Pelodiscus sinensis: one gene and its partner. The protein of the gene in region 1 interacts with the protein of each later gene in a biochemical or structural test. Links are inferred from orthologs where the notes say so. Each region holds a gene or a part of one and is shown on either strand. Other genes may lie near its edges.

The links.
Region 2: the proteins of TJP1 (region 1) and claudin-4-like form a complex in vitro, tested with the Homo sapiens proteins (2 studies listed by BioGRID and IntAct, with this or other methods). The link is inferred for Pelodiscus sinensis from reciprocal best matches to the Homo sapiens genes TJP1 and CLDN4.

The regions. Positions count from the first base shown.
Region 1 is NC_134724.1:44,961,664-44,972,622, forward strand, and holds the start of TJP1 (tight junction protein 1), read right to left. Parts: upstream 4,638-10,959; 5' UTR 4,589-4,637; coding exon 4,494-4,588; intron 1-4,493. UniProt on the Homo sapiens protein: TJP1, TJP2, and TJP3 are closely related scaffolding proteins that link tight junction (TJ) transmembrane proteins such as claudins, junctional adhesion molecules, and occludin to the actin cytoskeleton.
Region 2 is NC_134731.1:19,102,019-19,112,552, reverse strand, and holds claudin-4-like, read right to left. Parts: upstream 4,399-10,534; 5' UTR 4,276-4,398; coding exon 3,646-4,275; 3' UTR 2,283-3,645; downstream 1-2,282. UniProt on the Homo sapiens protein: Can associate with other claudins to regulate tight junction structural and functional strand dynamics.

The DNA.
Region 1 (10,959 bases):
GGCTATTTCTACACTAGGTGATTCTTTTGAATTTACTAAGTTTAACTTCTGGCCACCCAATTTTACAAATTCGAAGTTGTGTGTCCTCACTATGGGGAAGAATCTAATGTAGTCTGAGGTAGCGTGTCCACATTAACAGAGCCTGCTTCAGACACAGAGCCCCGGGAAGCACTTTGGGGAACTGTGGGAGGCCTAATTAGTTTGAATTAGTGGCAACAGAGTGTCTGTACTTACATTATTTTGGACTTACAAGTTCAGGAATAGCATTATTCCTCGTGAAAAGCAAGACTACAAAAGTTGAATTCCATGGCCCCTTACTCCGGAATAACAAGCTTGATAGTGTGGACGCATCACTTAGAAAATCAACCTTGGGGGGCTAATTTCAGAGTAAGGTCATAGTGTAGACCAGGCCTTTATGATTGCCATAATAATCTCAATACTATCGACAGAATCTTATATCTTGTTTTCTGAACCTTCTCACAAAGGGTTCATTTCTGCACCATTGAAGTCAACAGAAGTTCCACCGCTTTTAGAATTCTCACAGACTGTGATTTATTTCTCTCACTAAAATCTTGTCCTGATTTCACGTATATTTCTTATAAAACTTGTTTCTCCATTGAAAGTCTTTTAAAGTTTAGACCAGTGATTCCCAACCTTTTTCCTATGGAAGAAGCCCTAAAATAATTTTTCATATCCCGGGGAACCCCTTTGAAAACGTTTGCTTGGCCAGAAAAAGTTGACAGTGGGGAGCGCAATTCAATTACTGCTAAATTATTGTCAAGAAAATTTATTTGTAAAGAGCTGTTATATATAATGTCAGCTTACATTGTAAGGAAAAAAATTATTTATTTATTCCACGATTTCTCGCGGAACCTCTGACAATGGTCTGTGGAACCCCAGGGTTCCACGGAACCCTGGTTGGGAAACACTGGTCTAGACATTAAAACCTTACTCCCAGTTTGGTAGGAAATTACATGTATTAATTGCATGACTTAGCTCTTTTACAAAACATTTTACTTGCAGGTATTTAGATTTCAGTAAATATTTACTTTGGCCTATTGTTTTAAGATTTTTACATGTCAATAGTTTATTTTCCTTAAGTAATTTTGCAGCTGGGTTAATTCATACTGTACTCTATCTTAAAAAACACCCAACTATCTGCTGACATTGACAGTAAAAATCCTGGATTGTCTTACCAAGGTTAAATAGACTGACAATTTTCTGGGTGTGATTACCACATCTCAAATTCTTACTTCTGTTTTTTAACAGCTGCTATAGCCACGGTTCAATGTCAATATAAAGGATTCACAATTCTTCAAATCTACAATCCTACTGCAAATTTGAAAACAGTAGTTCTGCTGGGAAGTTCTTAAAAGTTCACATTTGCAACCATAATTTAAGTGTGCTGTAGCAAATAATAGTTTATTTTATAGAAAGTGTATATCATGCTCATAAAATGTGCCAGCTGACAACTTGAGAAGTAAAGGCTTCTATTCACGAACCAGGTGAAACACAGTACTGCAAACTTCCCACACTGCCTCAGACCTGACCTACACAGAGGGACCTCTCTTAGGAAAGAGATTAGTAAATTTTTAGCCTCTCTGCTAATTACTGCCAATTATGATGGTAGTTTTGCAACATGGGAATAAGACTGAGACCATCCGACTCACTTAATATATAGCCTATAGAATAGGTATCAGATGGAAAAAGCTGACAGACAATGGTAACATAGATTGGGTTTGAACTGACAACCTAGGGAATCAAAGCTTCTATAGCTGATTACCCATCCCATTAGAGAGCCAACATCCATCTTTTTTTGTTTTGATCTTGTTCTGTGAAACACAAAAAGCACAGCTATAGGACTTATAATTTTTTATGAGGGGGGGAGTGGGAGGAAATTAGAGTGGCAGATGCTCGATAAAGGAATAAACAATTGCTGCTACCTTTTTCATTTTCATTCAGTAGGATTCAGGTGGATTATCTCCACCAACTAAAGATAAATATTTTAAATCTTTTTTATAAAATGATTCATTTTGCTTGCTCTTACAGTATGTACTAACATATATATAAAACAACTTTTGAACCTGACTGGGCAAAAAAGAATACTGAAATTCTTACTTTGATAAACGAAGACTATGCTACCTTTTGATCATATTAAAGGCGATTTATACATTCTCTTTTTGTACACCAGGCTAGAGACTATTGATATATGGTAATGGAATGTACTTTTTGCAATATATTGCATTGATTTACATAATAAAATTAATATATTTATTTCACAAAAATTAAGCTTTATATAACATATGATTTGAAAAAAATGACAATACAATCTTAAGTACAAATATATCCCTTAGGAACACTTTTAAATGTAGTGTAAATTACTATTTCAACCCCGACACATAGCCACACAGACAGTCTCATATGGAACTCACTCAGGATCCTAGTGCAAAGTTGAAACCTACATTACTATGTCGCATGCTGATGGGGAGATAAGAATTTGAAGAAATAATCAAAAGATGTAGAATATAAAGATTTAAGTAACTGGCATGAATTCTTACATAGAAAAAAAATCATGATCCTTTGACCCAGACCATCAACAACTCAACTCCTCACACAAATATGACATTGATGAACAGCATACTTTTCCTTCAACAAACATTTGTTCTTCATTCAGGACCTACTATAGTGTCTTGCTTGTCTCTCTGAAAGTAGGGAAATTTCTCCATAAAACTAGGAAATATGGGTTGATTTTATTCTCACTGAAGAAAATGGAAGTATACAATACTGTATACTATATGTACTGTCAGCAAAGTAAAAAGGAATAGCATTGACAAGAGAAGAGTATAGGTAGTTGCACTTTATCTTTCTGACAATCAAACCCAAGCCACTATATATAGTGTAAAAGATAACCATGTGTAAGTATATTTTTTTAAGGAAAATATCTGATTTTGTATGTTACACTTAACAAGAATATGTTTTTGCCAAATTAAGTTACTAAAATAATTTTATTTTCTGTAAACATTATAATAAGTTTATGCTAGAAATATTATTAGTTTTATATGTGAAAGCATAATTTATATACTCTGCGACTTTTTAAAATGCCAGAAAGCTAAATTAGTTTTTTAAATTTTACACTTTCTGCAGTATGAAGTAAAATGATAAACTATGAAAAAATATATCAATGTGTGCTTTGGAAAACAGTTGTTAAAGAAAACTTGAACCACGTAAAATGTTAGTTTAATGAAGTTGGCCTATAGAAATGTTACTATGCTTCCCAGTTTTACCTCATTCCTTGACATTGTCTGTTCTGGATGATCGTGTGAGAATAAAGGACAAAATAAAATAATGCCAAGATCCATAGTCACTATAGTATATGTATTGCTGTCATGAGAGGCTGTTCATGAAAACAATTCATTTTGAAGCTACTTTATTGTTAAACAGTATGTCTTAGCACTTCCTTCTCAGACATTTTACACTTTCACCGTGACCCAGGGCCATGATGATAGGAAACCATAAGAACATTGCTGCTCACATCTCAACTTAAATCTTACAAAGATTTTTTTCTTAAGGTACAAATTTAATTCAAGATCCAAGGTATTTTTTTCTTAGAAAATTTGGCTTTTCAGTTAGGTAGATTTTCTTCTTAACATTATTTTTTCTGATGATATGCATCCTGCTGCTTCAATCATGCTAACAGTGGTCCTTTACAAGACAAAGAGTAACTGGGTATTGCAATGCTTTATGCTTCCTGGTGTCCTACTCACCCACATTGCAGTTTTACAGTGCTCTATTTTTTTCTTAACATACTGTCAGTTCACCTAGAAAACAATTCTAGTTCACCAATCAGTAAGCCCAAAAACCACTGGAAATGTGTCAAAAGAAAAATAAGTATATTTTAAAATTAAAAGTATAATATTATATTTAGATACTGCATGTCCCTTTTTGAGATTCACACTTGCCAAGAAAAATAAAGGGCTGACATTTGGAAGTGAAGCTTTATTCCTACTACGGATCAAAGAAGCAAATATCAAACAATCATTGGGAATATAGGATCAGACTGCCATGCCTATGATATGCGGTGTTGTTGTAGCTATAATAGACCTTCCTTGTAATTACCCCTGCACCTTTCCGAAGGAGCTGCCATTATTTTGACAAATGTTTGTTGTTTCTTTCTGAAAACACTTCTGAGAGTGCGAATCACACTGCTGGCCCAGGGAGAGGCTGGCGGCTGGGAGCTCCTTAAGCCAAGGCGTTTTCCTGAGAGGAGGCTGCAGCGGGCGAGCGGGCAGCTCCCCCAGCACGAGGCTGAGCACAGGGGCTGATCTGCCCGAACCCGCTCGGCGCACGATTCGCCGCGACCTGCGCCCGGGGCTTCCCGTGACACATTCCGGGCCCTGCAGTACGTGTCGGTTTGTCCCCACGGACCCCCAATGTGGGCAGCGCCGCGCGCCCGGTCCGGCACGAGCCCTTCCCCTCCGCCCGGCCCCACTCACCACAGCTTCCTCTTCAGGGGCATCAGGCTGCCCCGGTTGGAGGCGGTCACCCCTATGGCCATCTGCAGCACCGTCAGGTATTTCTGGTACTTCATCGCGCCGCCCCCCCGCGGGCCCGCCGCCGGCAGAGCCTCTCCAGCCGCTGCATGCAACCAGCAAAGCGCTCTCCCCGGCATCTGCCGCCCTGCGCCGCCGCCCGCCGCGCTGCCTCTTCCCGCCTCCGCCCGCCGCCCGCCGCGCTCCCCAGCTCCCTCTGCTCTGCCGCGCCTCCCCGCGCTGCCCCCCCCGCCGGGGGTCACGCCCTGCCCGCTCACCTGGCCGTCTCGCCCGGCCGCCTCCCCTCGCACCCTGGGGCCTCCGACCCCCCCTCCCCTCGCACCCTGGGGCCTCCGACCCCCCCTCCCGCGGGGCACCCTGGGGCCACCCTGACCCCCTCCCCTCGCACCCTGGGGCCTCCGACCCCCTCCCGCGGGGCACCCTGGGGCCTCCGACCCCCTCCCCTCGCACCCTGGGGCCACCGACCCCCTCCCGCGGGGCACCCTGGGGCCTCCGACCCCCTCCCCTCGCACCCTGGGGCCTCCGACCCCCTCCCGCGGGGCACCCTGGGGCCACCCTGACCTCCTCCCCTCGCACCCTGGGGCCTCCAACCCCCCCTCCCGCTGGGCACCCTGGGGCCACCCTGACCCCCTCCCCTCGCACCCTGGGGCCTCCGACCCCCCATCTCGCTGGGCACCCTGGGGCCTCCAACCCCCCCCATCTCTCTGGGCACCTGCGAGTCTCTGACCCCCCATCTCTCTGGGCACCTGCGAGTCTCTGACCCCTCATCTCTGTGATGCCCCCATCCCTCTAGGCACTTGGGTGACTCTCTATGCCCCCCCCATTTCTCTAGGCACCTCTCTCTGGCCCCCCATCTTTAGACCTCTCAGGTCCTCCCTCCCCACATCGCTGGGCATTTGGGGCCTTTCTCTCAGCTCTACACCCTGCCCCTCACAGGGTTTCCAAGAGGGTGTCACTTTCCCATCCTCCATCACTGGGCCTCTGGGCTCTTCCTCTCCCCACCCACTGCTAGTAACTGGGGTCTGTCTCCTCCCTCCTTCCAGAGCAGTGTTATGCCATATCCTACGGACAGCTCAGTTACCCAGTGCCGCTTTGCTGCTGCCATGCTCCGAGCCTGGCGCTGCCCTCTGCCCTCTAGGTTTCTGTCCCCGCCTCTCTAATCTTATTAGCGTCTAGAATAGTCCCATATTATTGTAATCCCTACCCCCATCACTTGTGATTTAGCTATAATCAGGCTGTGGAGCCAAGCACCACATCAAATGCAAACTGGCTACTGCTCAGAGGCAATGCCCACTGTGCCCTGGGCATAGGAGCTGGGGAGCTTCCCAGAAGTAGAACCTTAAATCAAAACTATCTTCTGAACAGAGAGAAAGAAATGGACAAGAAAGAGGATTATTAAGATCACCTGCCCTACATTCACCTCTGCACCACAGAGATGTGGAATCCTATGCAAAGCCTAATGAATCAACAGCAGAAATAACAAAATATCATTCCTGATGCTCTCACATCCAGAGAAATGATAGAAATGACTGCAGATTTGAAAGACTTATGGCCATTAAATCAGACCTATAAATGTGATATATTCATTCCTAGACATCCACTCTCTGGGCACCTTAACAAAAATAGCTAAAACCAATCATGTATTGAATCTTACACTCAAAACATTACACTAATAATCTCTCTCTATGTAAAATAATTTTCCTGTGGGACGACAGAGTGATGTAATCATGTGCTGCAGCACGAGGGGGGCTGCTATCGGCCCTTCTACTGCACCCTGCTCCCCCAGACTCTGCAGTTAGAGTCTGGGTTCCCTTCAGCCCCTCCTCAGGGATGCCCTGGGCTCCCCACTGGCCCCTGGCTTCCCTATAGGAGAGTTAGGGGGTGGTGGCAGTAGCCACCTCTGGCCTCACTTCTACTTCCGGATCTGGGCCACTGCCTACCTGGCACTCCTGCCTCATGTGCCCCCCTCACAAGATTACAGAGCCAGCAGCACACGCGCTTCCCCACATGCCAGATCCAATGCAGAGTCTTGGATCTTTCTCTTCCTCTCCTGCCCTACAGGAAGCCAGTGCTAGCGCTATAATCCTGGGGGTGGGGGAGAGGGCAGCACGAGGCTGGAGCGCCAGGCAGGAAGCCGCCCAAGGCAGGCAATGGTTCACACAGAATCAGGGCCCCAGACCTGGAAGTAGAAGTGGAGCCAGAGGCAGCTTCCCCATTGGAGCAGCAGGGAAAGCCCCTGGTGCTTGGTGGCATGAAAAAAAGTAAGTGCCCCCTCATGCCCAGCCCCTGCAATCCCAGTGCCTCATGTACCCCCGGCCAGCTGTCTCACCTCCTTCCCCTGGCCAGACACTCTACCCCCGACTGCTCCTGCCTCCTCCCCCAGGCCAGACACTGCCCAGTCGGAGCCCAGCCCCCATCTGGCCATTGCTCCTGTCCCCAGCCCTGATCTTGGGGCAGACCCTGCAGTCCAGTCCCCATCTGGTCACAGGAAGGGCTGGTAGCAGCCCCCTTCCTGCTGCAGCACAGTAAGAGGATAGGCCACAATCCAGCTGCAGTGGATAGATGGGGAGATTGGTAAGTGTAGAGAGCAGGAGGCACAGCCCCCTAATGATTTCTTAAACTTATTTTGGGCCTTTCTCCCCAAAGTTCCTTAATATTTACATAGTGTGATAGATGTTCATGGCACACCATAGGTGACTATAAAACAAGTTCCTGACCTAAAAGGCTTTCATTCTAAAGACAGCGTAGAGAGATAATAGGGTAACATCGTATAATGCTATCTATGTACTTTATAGAACCACTGAGGTCAAACATCTCTGGGGCAGAGGCCAGCATGTAGCTGACGAACTGACCGATAGCATTGAGATTATTTTTGGCTACAGATATTAGAGTAAAATATGTTGAGGAATCTTTCATGTCCACACATAGAAAAGTCTTTAAACAAAATACTAGCAAAAAGGAGACAAAGTAGTTTGGGCTTTGGCACAAAAGATGCCACCAATGAGCTTGGCTGTGAATACTGGGAAATAGTATCCCAGGCTCACAAGAGGCATGTCTACACTAGGAAATAATTTTGAAATAAGTAACATAGAAATAATAACTCCCAAAACAACAAAATCGAAATAGTGCGTCCCCACTACAGGGAGCATCGAAATTACTCAGAATGATTTCGAAATAGCGCATTGACACTGATTGGAGCCCGCCTTGGACTTAGAGCCCCTGGAAGCACTCCTGGGAAGGCATGTGTGGCTGCTTGGTCAGGCAAGCTGTGGTAGATGCTATCAGGACCTCCTCTCCATGGCTGCATCTCACACGCCACTCCTCCACAGGACACAAAACGGATGCCGTGTCCTCTGGTTGCCCTGGTGGACACCACAGCACTTCCAACATGGAGTCAGAGCTGCTGCAAAGCAGTGCTAGGCTCACGGGCCTTGTGCTGCACCGCATGGTGCAGTTCATCCAGACTGCCCACTTGCTGCTCCAGCAGGATGACTACCAGTCCGGACCAGAGGCCCTCATCACCCAGGTCCTGGCACTCCTATTGCTGCAAATGATCCTCAATCCCCTGGACACCATTGAATGATGCTTCTGATGGAGGGAGACCAGTTCAGTCTCATGGGACTGCATCATCCTGCAGCAATGGGATGACAAGCAGTGGCTCCAGAACTCCACACATGTGGAAGGCCACCTTCCTGGAGCACTGCAAATGGCTTGCCCCTGCCCTCAGGCAACAGCATCCTGGGCAACGCAGCCTTCCCCTTGCTCCCCTGACTTATGAAGCCCTACACAGGCAGCCTGGGACCCACCAAGATGACTCTGCCAGGCTGAGGAGGTGCTGCATAGTTGTGGAGTGTGTGTTTAGCCATTTAAAGGGGAGGTTCTGGAGTCTCCTCACCCGTCTGGAACTCAGAAAGCATAACATCCCCTTTGTGGTGGTGGCCTGCTGTGTGCCCACTACCTCTGTGAGAGCAAAGGGGAGACTTTGCTGCCAGGTTGGGGGCAGAGGCTGCACGGATGGCCGGGGCATACAAGCAGCTGGACACCAGAGCCATTTGACAAGCACATAAAGGGGCTTTGCTCATCAGGGAGGCCTTGAGGGAGAGTTTCAGCCAAGGTCAGCTGTGAGACTATCCCTTGTGCCTGTCCACACAGGACCCCTTACGTTGCCTCTCTGTGCTTTTCCTCCCGGACCCCCACCCCTTCCCACCTCCCCTGCCCCTGCAGAGCAAATAAAAAAGCCTTTAAAAAAAAACCAAGACTGTTTATTTGGGGGATATAAAACAGGGGAGGAACTGGGGGAAAGAATCTGGAATGCAGGAGGGGGAGGCGATCTCAGGGATGGGGCCTGGACTGACTGGGTAGCTTGGGAGGCTTTGTGTGCCTTAGAGGTCCCACTGCCCCGTGTTCTGGGACCCTGGTGGCTCCTGGGGGGGAGCTAGGAGGGAAAGGCAAGGGGAGATGGTTGGTGGCCTGCTCCATGCACAAGGCCATGTGCTCCATCAATGCAGTGAGGGAGGAGCACATGGCCTCCTGCTGGTGTGCCAGCTGGTTCCAGGGAGCCTTCCACTGCTCCTGGTCAGTAGCCTGCTCCTGGCACTCCTCTTCAAGCCCCTGGATGAGGGGCTCGAGGCAGGCCATCTGCTACCTCATTAGATCTTCCTGAGTATGTTTCCTCCTGCAGATCCCGGCGGGAGTCGGGAAGATGGCATGGGAGGTGGTGCACACATCACACTCACAGCTGGCTCAGCTGTGAAGAAAAGTTACAAGGGCAGTCATCCCAGGAGACCCTGTATATGAAGCCTAGCCCTAATCGCTGAGCTGACACTGAAGTTCTTGGTTCAGACAATAGCGATTTGCTTCGAGCAAGGCTATATGTTGTCTTGACAACAGGCACTTTCCTGCAGGGGGACGGATGTCCCAGGGGAGCATTGCTACACCCACAGCCTGGGGACAAGCAAGCATGGGAAGGTGCTGGCCAGGCCAGGAGCCTGCGGGTGGCAGGAGGAGACAGGGCAGCTCGGCTTCCTTCCATGTCCTGCACACACCGGGTCCAGCACTGGCGGCATCTCACAGAGAGAGAACTTCTATCCCTGCTCGCTAGAGGAGGATGGAGTTTGTGAGAGGTGTGTGCGAGTGGCAGAGGCTGCTTGCTGGGAGAATGCTACTGGGGTCCCCTCCACTTCCTCCCTCCCGACAGGTTACCATGCAGGGAATCGTGGCTGTGCTGACAGCACAGTACAGTACACGGGGGGGGTATGAAGGATGTGATCGCATCAACCCTTCCCCACCCATGGTCCTCCAAGTAAGCATGAGGCTGGGGCAGTACATTGCCCCAGCATCCCTCCCCAATGCTCTGGCTGGCTGGAGGAAAGCAGAAGCGGCGCAGTGCCCCAACCTCCCTCCCCTACGCGCTAGATGCTGGGAGAAGGCTGGGGCTGATTTGTCTCCCCCACCCGCCACCAAGAGTGGGGATGGGGACTGGGATGGGGATGGGCCTGGGTTGCAGGGGTGGGGCAGCCACCAGCGCCTCCCATGACTCAACCCCCCCCCCACACAGAAATTCCTGAATACAGGCCTGCTATTGTGTATGTGTATGATTGCTATCTAAAGAACAGAATATCAGACCTACTCAATTAGGCACCATAAACCTTAAGAGAAATAGAAGATGTGGTTAAGATCAGAAAAGTGACTGAAAAATGCCACTTTCTTGTTCAATTGACCTACTCCCTGTGTACATGCAGAATGGTCTCTGTTTACTTTAATGACTTTAAATGACTCTAATGTTTTTACTCATGTTAACCCCTGAGCCCACACAAGGCTATGAGAGAGCAGAAGCTGAATTTTATTCAGACCTATCATCAACAGAATTTTTTAGCTAAATTACATTTACCATACTCTGTTTTGCCCTTAATTACAGTTGTACAATTCCATTAAGACAATCATTTACATCTGTCCAATGCTAGCCAATCCTTATTACTGATGAAGCTACATAAAGCATTTTTGGCTTCATTTTCAAATTCCAAATTGAATATACAACTCTGGCAACTAGAAATATATAGTTATATATATATAATTTCTCGATATGAAATTATTGCCATGATAAACGAAGAGACCAATAATGACGTTTTTACAGTAATATTTGAGACTCTAAACTCGCTTTATCAGCCAGTGCAGGATAGACATGGATCTATTTCTAGTATTTGTGTTCACATACATTATAATGCCCTTTTAAGTTATGACTTCACCTTTATTTTTTATTTGTTGAGATGGAATAAAAAGATCAACCTAGTTGGAGGTAAATAATTTGAGACGGGTTATGTTTTCCTATGTATTATACAAAGACCAAGCACAATGGGCCCACAAATGCATAACAGCATCCTTACTGTTATGATATAAATGCACAATAATA
Region 2 (10,534 bases), on another chromosome or scaffold:
GGAGGCGGGGCAGGGTGGGGTCCGGAGGGGGCGTGGGGCTGGAGGCGGGGCAGGGTGGGGTCCGGAGGGGGCGTGGGGCTAGAGGCGGGGCAGGGTGGGGCCCAGAGGGGGCGTGGGGCTGGAGGCGGGGCAGGGTGGGGTCCGGAGGGGGCGTGGGGCTGGAGGTGGGGCAGGGTGGGGATCCGGAGGGAGCGTGGGGCTGGAGGCGGCGCAGGGTGGGGATCCGGAGGGAGCGTGGGGCTGGAGGCGGGGCAGGGTGGGGTCCGGAGGGGGTGTGGGGCTGGAGGCGGGCCAGGGTGGGGCTCTGGAAGGGGAGTGGGGCTGGAGGCGGGGCAGGGTGGGGGTCCAGAGGGAGTGTGGGGCTGGAGGCGGAGCAGGGTGGGGTCTGGAGGGAGTGTGGGGCTGGAGGCGAAGCAGGGTGGGGTCTGGAGGGGGCATGGGGCTGGAGGCGGGGCAGGGTGGGGCTCTGGAAGGGGAGTGGGGCTGTCGGCGGGGCAGGGTGGGGCTCTGGAGGGGGTGTGGGGCTGGAGGCGGAGCAGGGTGGGGCTCTGGAAGGGGAGTGGGGCTGGAGGCGGGACAGGGTGGGGTCCGGAAGGGGTGTGGGGCTGGAGGCGGAGCAGGGTGGGGCTCTGGAAGGGGAGTGGGGCTGGAGGCGGGGCAGGGTGGGGCTCTGGAAGGGGAGTGGGGCTGGAGGCGGGGCAGGGTGGGGGTCCAGAGGGAGTGTGGGGCTGGAGGCGGAGCAGGGTGGGGTCTGGAGGGGGTGTGGGGCTGGAGGCGGGGCAGGGTGGGGCTCTGGAAGGGGAGTGGGGCTGTCGGCGGGGCAGGGTGGGGCTCTGGAAGGGGAGTGGGGCTGGAGGCGGAGCAGAGTGGGGTCCGGAAGAGGTGTGGGGCTGGAGGCGGAGCAGGGTGGGGCTCTGGAAGGGGAGTGGGGCTGGAGGCGGGGCAGGGTGGGGTCCGGCAGAGGTGTGGGGCTGGAGGCGGAGCAGGGTGGGGCTCTGGAAGGGGAGTGGGGCTGGAGGCGGGGCAGGGTGGGGCTCTGGAAGGGGAGTGGGGCTGGAGGCGGGGCAGGGTGGGGTCCGGAGGGGGTGTGGGGCTGGAGGCGGGGCAGGGTGGGGGGTCCAGAGGGAGTGTGGGGCTGGAGGTGGAGCAGGGTGGGGCTCTGGAAGGCGAGTGGGGCTGGAGGCGGGGCAGGGTGGGGGTCCAGAGGGAGTGTGGGGCTGGAGGCGGAGCAGGGTGGGGCTCTGGAAGCGGAGTGGGGCTTGAGGCGGCACAGGGTGGGGTCCGGAGGGAGTGTGGGGCTGGAGGCGGGGCAGGGTGGGGTCCGGAGGGGGCGTGGGGCTTGAGGCGGTGCAGGGTGGGGTCCGGAGGGGGTGTGGGGCTGGAGGCAGAGCAGGGTGGGGGTCCGGAGGGGGCGTGGGGCTTGAGGCGGCGCAGGGTTGGGTCCGGAGGGGGTGTGGGGCTGGAGGCGGTGCAGGGTGGGGTCCGGAGGGGGTGTGGGGCTGGAGGCGGGGCAGGGTGGGGTCCGGAGGGGGTGTGGGGCTGGAGGCGGGGCAGGGTGGGGTCCGGAGGGGGTGTGGGGCTGGAGGCGGGGCAGGGTGGGGTCCGGAGGGGGTGTGGGGCTTGAGGCGGCGCAGGGTGGAGTCTGGAGGGGGTGTGGGGCTGGAGGCAGAGCAGGGTGGGGCTCTGGAAGGGGAGTGGGGCTGGAGGCGGAGCAGGGTGGGGCTCTGGAAGGGGAGTGGGGCTGGAGGCGGGGCAGGGTGAGGCTCTGGAAGGGGAGTGGGGCTGGAGGCGGGGCAGGGTGGGGTCCGGAATGGGAGTGGGGCTGGAGGCGGGGCAGGGTGGGGTCCGGAGGGGGTGTGGGGCTGGAGGCGGGGCAGGGTGGGGCTCTGGAAGGGAGTGGGGCTGGAGGCGGGGCAGGGTGGGGTCCGGAGGGGGCGTGGGGCTGGAGGCGGGGCAGGGTGGGGTCCGGAGGGGGTGTGGGGCTGGAGGCGGGGCAGGGTGGGGTCCGGAGGGGGTGTGGGGCTGGAGGCGGGGCAGGGTGGGGTCCGGAGGGGGAGTGGGGCTGCAGGCGGCGTGGAGGGGGCTCCGGGGAGGGGAGGGGGGAGGGGGAAGGGGTGCCCCCAGGGCAGCCAAGCAAACGCGACAGGCCCGGCAGGCTCGGAGCAGCTGCAGTTTAATGTTGAAATCCCAATGGCGTCTACGGACACTTCCCACGGGCAGGAGGGTCCCGGCACAGCCCCCAGCCCAGTCAGGAGGCACCCCCCTCCCGGCCCCCTCCCGGCTCACCCCCCCCCCGGCACCTGCCCTCTTCCCCCCTCTCCCGCCCTCTGCTGGGGCAGCCGGCAGGTCTCCACCCGGGAGCTGCCTGGGCCAGTCTGTCTGCTGGGAGCCCGCAGGAGGCTGGTGGACCTGCCCGGGGCTGCTGCAGTGATACCCCCACCCCCGGGGCTCTGGGCGGCCTCCAGCCTGCTCGGGTCAGACTCGGCCGGAGGGGCAGTGGGCGGCCGCAGGCTCCGAGAGCCGCCAGGAAACACCTTCCCTTTCGGCTCTCGCTCAGCCTGCCTGGCCCTGCTCCCACCTCCCAGACCGGTTTGCCCAGCTGGGCCCTGCCATCCCGCCCCGCCCGGCTCACGCAGGAACCACAGGTGCAGCTAAACAAACAGGGCCTGAGAGTGGCGCACTGCAAACCCGGGGCAGGGCCGGCGGAGCCCCGCGCTGCCTCTGGGGGTGCTAAGAGCAGGCCAGAGCCCCGTTTCCACGTGGGGCTCTCCAGTCTGGCTCGGAGCTGGGAGGGCAGAAGCAGCCGGGAGTCCTCTGCCTGCTCAGCTCTGGGGACGGGGCACGAGCCACGTCCGGAGTGACACTGCCCCCGAGCAGAGCTTGCCGGAGCCCTGGGGAGCGCGGGAGACGGGTGCCTGCACGACAGGCCCACACAGAAACCCAGCAGCATGCCCAGAGCTTGGCACACCGCCACCCCACACATACCCAGCCCCACACCGCCTGCGTGGGCCCAGCGCTTTCACTCTCCTAAGCCAGCTCCCGCTGGGACCTCCGCCAGGCCCCCCGGACGGACCCGAGGCCTGGCGCCGGAAGGAGGCCTCCCCTCAGGCACAACCCCTGAGCCTGGCTGCAGCTTCCCCTTCCTCCGGAGAGGCTGGGCTCTGCTCCCAGGGACCTGTCCTGCCCAGCCCCTCCAGCACGGGGCGTGACCACGGACCTGCCACGTCTGTTACTCCCTGCCCCCGCACGCCTCTCCCCCCTTCCCGAGCGGGCACAGGGGGCAGGCCTGCAGGGGCTCACAGCACCAGCTGGCTTCGCCCGGGGGCTGGGAGCAATTCCAGGAGCTCTCAGTGCCCTGGCCACACGCTGCAGGGGCAGAGTCTTAGCGCCAGGCCTGGCAGCCGCTCAGCAGCCAGGGATGTGCCGGGGGCGCGTCTGAGCAGCCAGCCAGTCCTGCACCTCGGGGCTTCTGCTCAGGAGCCTGCGCCCCCTCCCAAGGCCCCTTCTCCTTCGGGAAGCTCTGTCTGTTCAGCCCCTGGGCAGTGGGGGAGAGCTGGGCTCAGGCAGAGCAGCGGGCTGGGGCTGGGCAGGAGTCTCTCGGGGAGCTGGGCCCCCGCGCTGGGGAGGCCCAGAGCCCGCCCGTCCCTAGACGTAGTTGCTGACCGGCCCCGAGCGCGCCGCCGTGTAGTTGGCAGAGTAGGGCTTCTCATTCTTGGGGGGGCAGCTGCAGCAGAGCAGGGACCCCCCAATGAGCAGGAGCGCGGAGCCAGCCCAGCCGATGTAGAGCGAGGCCCCCAGCTCCCGCTTCTGCGCCTCGGTGACCAGCGGGTTGTAGAAGTCGCGGATGATGTTGTTGGCCGACCAGCACACGGGGATGAGGATCATGATGCCCGAGATGATGAAGATGCTCCCGGCGACGATCGTGACCTTGGCTTTGGCAGACGCGTCCTCCACGCAGTTGGTGCATTTCCCGCCCACGAGGGCCAGGAGCAGGCCCAGCACGGCCAGCACGATGGCGATCACCACCAGGGCGCGGGCGGCCTGCAGGTCCTGGGGCAGGGCCAGCATGGAGTCGTAGACCTTGCACTGCATCTGGCCCGTGCTCTGCACCACGCAGTTCATCCACAGCCCCTCCCAGATGATCTGGGCCACCACGATGTTGTTCCCGATGAAGGCCGTCACCCGCCACATGGGCAGCGCGCAGGTCAGGATGGAGCCCAGCCAGCCAATGACCGAGAGGGTGATGCCCAGCACCTGCAGCCCCATCGAAGCCATCTTGCCGTGCGCCCTGCCTCGCACGAGCCCGCACGGAGCTGACGGGTGTCCCTGGCAGCCGAGGTGCAGTGCTGTGCGGCTGGACCATCCGGACGAGTTATACACCTCTCAGGAGGCGGAGTGTCACTCCCCCCGTACAACCAGTTCCCCAGGATTCCTGGGCTCTGCATTCTCACCACCTCCGAGGACTCTTCCCTCCCCACGCAGCCTTCCTGCTCCCCCTGCAGTGGAGGGAGGCTGCTGCTGGAGGCACACAGCTGGGCTGCCTTACAGCTCCCTCCATTGTCCTGAACAGGCTTTTCCCAGCTTCGCCCCAGCCCCCCAGCGAGTGGGAGACAGCGGAGGGAGCAGGCTCTGTGGGTGGAGGAAGCTTGAGGGGCTGGGGCAGGAGTCTGGGCGCCAGGCCCGTCTCTGCCACAGCCCCACAGTGTGATTTTGGCCATGTCACGTACGCCATCGGTGCCTCAGTTTCCCCCTCTGTAGAATGGTGCTCCCAGGGTCACTGCTGTGGGAGGGCTGGGCTTTCCACAGCTGTCACTGCTCTTGGCCTTACCACGCTGGGCAGCCCCTGCTGAGCACAGCCCAGTGTGCAGAGCAGGGAGCTGTCACCGCGCCCCACCCTGCCCCAGCTGACAGAGCACAAGCAGCCCTCGGCTGTCCCATGGCTGGCTGTTGAGAGCATCCGGGTGTGAATCAGGCCTCAGGGATACGGTGTCCCCATTGTGCCTGGTCCCACCCATCCCCGAGAGCCCCAAACCGGTCTGAGCTGCTGCAGGCCGGCCAGAGGGGACAGGCTAGGGCAGGTCCCTGAGAACGAGCACGGCGCACGAGGGCTTTCGTGGCTGTCACCACAGCAGCCTCCTCCCCTGCACAGCGGTGCCAGGCCCTGACTCAGCCCAGCCTCTGCTCAGAGCCTCCCCTCCGCACCTCTCCGGCAGGGCAGGGGGCGGAGCGAACTGGGGCCGCCCTGCCTTTCGCCTTGGGGCTGCCGGCCGCTAACCCAGGTGCAGGACGCTGGCCCTTCCCTGCCCAGCCCAGCTCGCCGGGCGCACGCCTGCGCTCTGCTGGGACGCGAGCGGGATCGGAGCGATGCAGCTTCGGAGGGGACGCGCCCTAGAGAGCCGCCAGCTGGCCAGGGAGAGCCGCGGGCCCTGGGGCAGAGTGGGCAACGGGTCTCTCCCGTGAGCCCTCACCAGCCCCACAGGCCCCCGGCCTACCTAGGCATTTGCACACCCCTCGCTGTGGCTTCAGGCCAGCCAGGACGGCTGCGTGGACCCGGGGCAGTTCCTGGGAGAACGCCAGAGCAGGGGCCGGGACCTGGGTCCTTCCCAGAGAGCCGAGCACCAGCCCAGGCATTCGGCCAGTGGCCACTTGTGACACGTGTCTGGAATCAGAGCCCCCCCCCCCATGCCCGCCCTGCCTCTCGCCAACTGGGACAGCAGCAGAGAGGTGTGGGAAGGGAGGGGCGGGGCGATCGCACCAGCTTCCCCATGCCTGGGAGTCTGCCCCGCCATCAACATCCAGGGTCCCGCTGGCCCCACTAGCTTTGCCACCCCCAGGGTCCCACCGCCGGCCCACGGCTCTGCTACCCCCCAGGGTCCCACCGCCGGCCTGGGGCTCTGCTGCCCCCCGGGGTCCCACCACCGGCCCGGGGCTCTGCTACCCCCCAGGGTCCCACCGCCAGCCTGGGGCTCTGCTGCCCCCCGGGGTCCCACCACCGGCCCGGGGCTCTGCTACCCCCCAGGGTCCCACCGCCGGCCTGGGCTCTGCTGCCCCCCGGGGTCCCACCGCCGACCCAGGGCTCTGCTACCCCCCAGGGTCCCACCGCCGGCCTGGGCTCTGCTGCCCCCCGGGGTCCCACCACCGGCCCGGGGCTCTGCTACCCCCCAGGGTCCCACCGCCGGCCTGGGGCTCTGCTGCCCCCCGGGGTCCCACCGCCGGCCTGGGGCTCTGCTACCCCCCGGGGTCCCACCACCGGCCCGGGGCTCTGCTACCCCCCGGGGTCCCACCACCGGCCCAGGGCTCTGCTACTCCCCGGGGTCCCACCGCCGGCCCGGGGCTCTGCTACCTCCAGGGTCCCACCGCCGACCCGGGGCTCTGCTACCCCCCAGGGTCCCACCGCCAGCCCGGGGCTCTGCTACCCCCCAGGGTCCCACCGCCAGCCCGGGGCTCTGCTACCCCCGGGGTCCCACCGCCGGCCCGGGGCTCTGCTACCCCCGGGGTCCCACCACCGGCCCGGGGCTCTGCTACCCCCGGGGTCCCACCGCCGGCCCAGGGCTCTGCTACCCCCGGGGTCCCACCGCCGGCCTGGGGCTCTGCTACCCCCCAGGGTCCCACCGCCAGCCCGGGGCTCTGCTACCCCCGGGGTCCCACCGCCGGCCCGGGGCTCTGCTGCCCCCCGGGGTCCCACCGCCGGCCTGGGGCTCTGCTGCCCCCCGGGGTCCCACCGCCGGCCCGGGGCTCTGCTACCCCCGGGGTCCCACCGCCGGCCTGGGGCTCTGCTACCCCCGGGGTCCCACCGCCAGCCCAGGGCTCTGCTGCCCCCCAGGGTCCCACCACTGGCCCGGGGCTCTGCTGCCCCCCAGGGTCCCACCGCCGGCCCGGGGCTCTGCTGCCCCCCAGGGTCCCATCACTGGCCCGGGGCTCTGCTACCCCCCGGGGTCCCACCGCCGGCCCGGGGCTCTGCTACCCCCCGGGGTCCCACCGCCAGCCCGGGGCTCTGCTGCCCCCCAGGGTCCCACCGCCAGCCCGGGGCTCTGCTGCCCCCCCAGGGTCCCACCGCCAGCCCGGGGCTCTGCTGCCCCCCGGGGTCCCACCGCCAGCCCGGGGCTCTGCTACCCCCGGGGTCCCACCGCCGGCCCGGGGCTCTGCTACCCCCGGGGTCCCACCGCCGGCCCGGGGCTCTGCTACCCCCCGGGGTCCCACCGCCGGCCCGGGGCTCTGCTACCCCCCGGGGTCCCACCGCCGGCCCGGGGCTCTGCTACCCCCGGGGTCCCACCGCCGGCCCGGGGCTCTGCTACCCCCGGGGTCCCACCGCCGGCCCGGGGCTCTGCTACCCCCCGGGGTCCCACCGCCGGCCCGGGGCTCTGCTGCCCCCCGGGGTCCCACCGCCGGCCCGGGGCTCTGCTGCCCCCCGGGGTCCCACCGCCGGCCCGGGGCTCTGCTGCCCCCCGGGGTCCCACCACTGGCCTGGGGCTCTGCTACCCCCCAGGGTCCCACCGCCGGCCCGGGGCTCTGCTGCCCCCCGGGGTCCCACCGCCGGCCCGGGGCTCTGCTGCCCCCCGGGGTCCCACCGCCGGCCCGGGGCTCTGCTGCCCCCCGGGGTCCCACCACTGGCCTGGGGCTCTGCTGCCCCCCAGGGTCCCACCGCCGGCCTGGGGCTCTGCTGCCCCCCGGGGTCCCACCGCCGGCCTGGGGCTCTGCTGCCCCCCAGGGTCCCACCGCCGGCCCGGGGCTCTGCTACCCCCCAGGGTCCCACCGCCGGCCTGGGGCTCTGCTGCCCCCCGGGGTCCCACCGCCGGCCTGGGGCTCTGCTGCCCCCCGGGGTCCCACCGCCGGCCTGGGGCTCTGCTGCCCCCCAGGGTCCCACCGCCAGCCCGGGGCTCTGCTACCCCCCAGGGTCCCACCGCCGGCCCGGGGCTCTGCTACCCCCCAGGGTCCCACCGCCGGCCCGGGGCTCTGCTGCCCCCCGGGGTCCCACCGCCGGCCCGGGGCTCTGCTGCCCCCCAGGGTCCCACCGCCGGCCCGGGGCTCTGCTACCCCCCAGGGTCCCACCGCCGGCCTGGGGCTCTGCTGCCCCCCGGGGTCCCACCGCCGGCCTGGGGCTCTGCTGCCCCCCAGGGTCCCACCGCCGGCCCGGGGCTCTGCTGCCCCCCAGGGTCCCACCGCCAGCCCGGGGCTCTGCTACCCCCCAGGGTCCCACCGCCGGCCCGGGGCTCTGCTACCCCCCAGGGTCCCACCGCCGGCCCGGGGCTCTGCTGCCCCCCGGGGTCCCACCGCCGGCCCGGGGCTCTGCTGCCCCCCAGGGTCCCACCGCCGGCCCGGGGCTCTGCTGCCCCCCAGGGTCCCACCGCCGGCCCGGGGCTCTGCTACCCCCCAGGGTCCCACCGCCGGCCTGGGGCTCTGCTACCCCCCGGGGTCCCACCACTGGCCTGGGGCTCTGCTACCCCCCGGGGTCCCACCGCCGGCCCGGGGCTCAGCAGCTGGGGCAGCGAGGAGCTTGAGGTGCTGGCTCCCCAGGCCTGGCGGGCAGGGCAGGGACGGGTGTAAGGGGGAGGCTGTGGCAGGATGGCCGGGCCCAGCCCCATGCGGCCTGGCGAATGGTGGGGCCACAGCTGCAGCAGCGTGACCCAGAGGACGCCCCAGGCCTGGCAAGTGCCCTCCTGCAGCTCCGCGGGCCCCGGCTGGGCCTGTGCAGCGCCATGGAGACCAGAGACGTCAGGGTGCTAGACAAGCAAAGCTCAGTCGCCTTGGAGACGGTCACACCCACCGTCTGCCGCGCCCCTTGGGTCACCGCCTGGCCACACGTACTGACGGGGAAGCAGAAACTCCCGGGCTGAGCTACGGCCTCTCAGCCTCCCCGGGCTAGTGGGGACTCCCCTCTTCTGGCGCCAGCTGGGGAGGCTGAGGCCTCACGCCTGCGCGCCCCCCCGCGAGGGCCGTTAGTATTGCTGGACACTGCCCCCGAGCACGCCCGACCCTGCCGGCGGCTCTCACCGGCCTGCTGGGCAGAGCAGCTGCCTGCAGCGATGCCCAGGCTGCACTCTTCCATCGGAGAGAGGCGATTTGCGCTAGTTGCGTATCTTTTCTCGATTCAATTTCGAAAGAGGCTTTTTTGAAATTTGGCGAGTCTACACGGTGCCAAATTTCGGGAACCAGGGCTTTTGAGCCCTCCCTTATTCCTCGCAGAACGCGGTTTACAGGGATGGCGAAAGAGCACGTCCGTTCTTTCGAAAAGGATGTGAAGAGTGGACGCGTTCCTTGGACACAATGTTGCTTTTGGGGGATTCTTCCAGTATCCCGAGGAAGCAACGCCGTCTGGACGCAGCCTGAGAGAAGGGCTCCTCCGGCCCAGCTCGGAACAGGGCCCAGGTCTCTCCCAGACCAGGCCGAGGCCCCGTCAGGACGCCTGTAAGTGCACCAGTGTCCGTAACCGCAGAAACAGGCTCTGACACGGTCTCAGCCCTAGCGAGCAGACAGCAGAAAGAGGGTTATGAAAGCAGCCACTTCCACACCGAGAAAGCTGCTCTTGCCGGCTCCTGCCTGCACATGCAGCCAGTTAGGGCCGGGCTGTAGCGGACGGGGTGTCTGTGTCGTGCCCTGCCTGCTTGGTGCTCACACGGAGTGAGCTGCTTGCATGCAGAGAAGTGCCAGGCTAGGCAGGCAGCTACACACAGCAGCCAGGCGACCACAGTGGGCACCCACTGGCTCCAGATGTGCGAATCGCATGCTTCTCTCGGCCTGTAACAGCTGGATGCAGCAGAGGTTGCAGAGCTAACAGGTGGCATTTACACTCTGCGGGTATCCCATAGAGTGGTGACAAAATATGCACAAAGAAACCTGGAGAAATTGTTGGATCAGTTAGTGTAAAACTTCTGAGCTTAGAACTGAATTTGGATGCTGTTTCAACCCTGGAACACTAGAACTGGAAGGACCTTAAGCGGTCATCAAGTCCCATCCCCTGCCCTCTTGGCAGGACCAAGCACCATCTAGACCCTCCCTGGCAGGTGTCTGTCCAACCTGCTCTGAAATATCTCCAGGGAAGGAGATTCCACAACCCCCCTGGGCAATGTATTCCAGTGTTTCACCTCCGAAAGGCAGGAAGATTTTCCTAATGTCCAAGCCAAGGTTGCATTGTTAGCATTTGTGTTGTGGCTAATGGAAGCTGTCCTTTAAGAACATGGTGGGGCACCTTATGTGTGTTTGTGTCTGCGAATGGCAGCAGCGTATAGCAAATGTGACCCATCTGTCCAGATCGGGCCTATGCGAGCTCCCCAGAGCGCAGAACAAACCTTCCCTTAACAGTCTCCTGCATGAAGAGAAGAGCCCATGGGGGACTGACAGACGCTGGGCACTGCTATGAGCTCCAGAGCCCTGAGCGAATGAGCATGCTCAGCTCTGGAGCCCATCTGGATCCTCTGTCCTGCTCCTTGGGCCGCAACCCTCAGTTATGTGCTGGGGTGGGTGTGACGTAGTGGGGGGTACCTTGCTGGTTGCTGGGCAGTGGGTTGGGAGTGACCTCCACTGGCTGCTGGCTGCA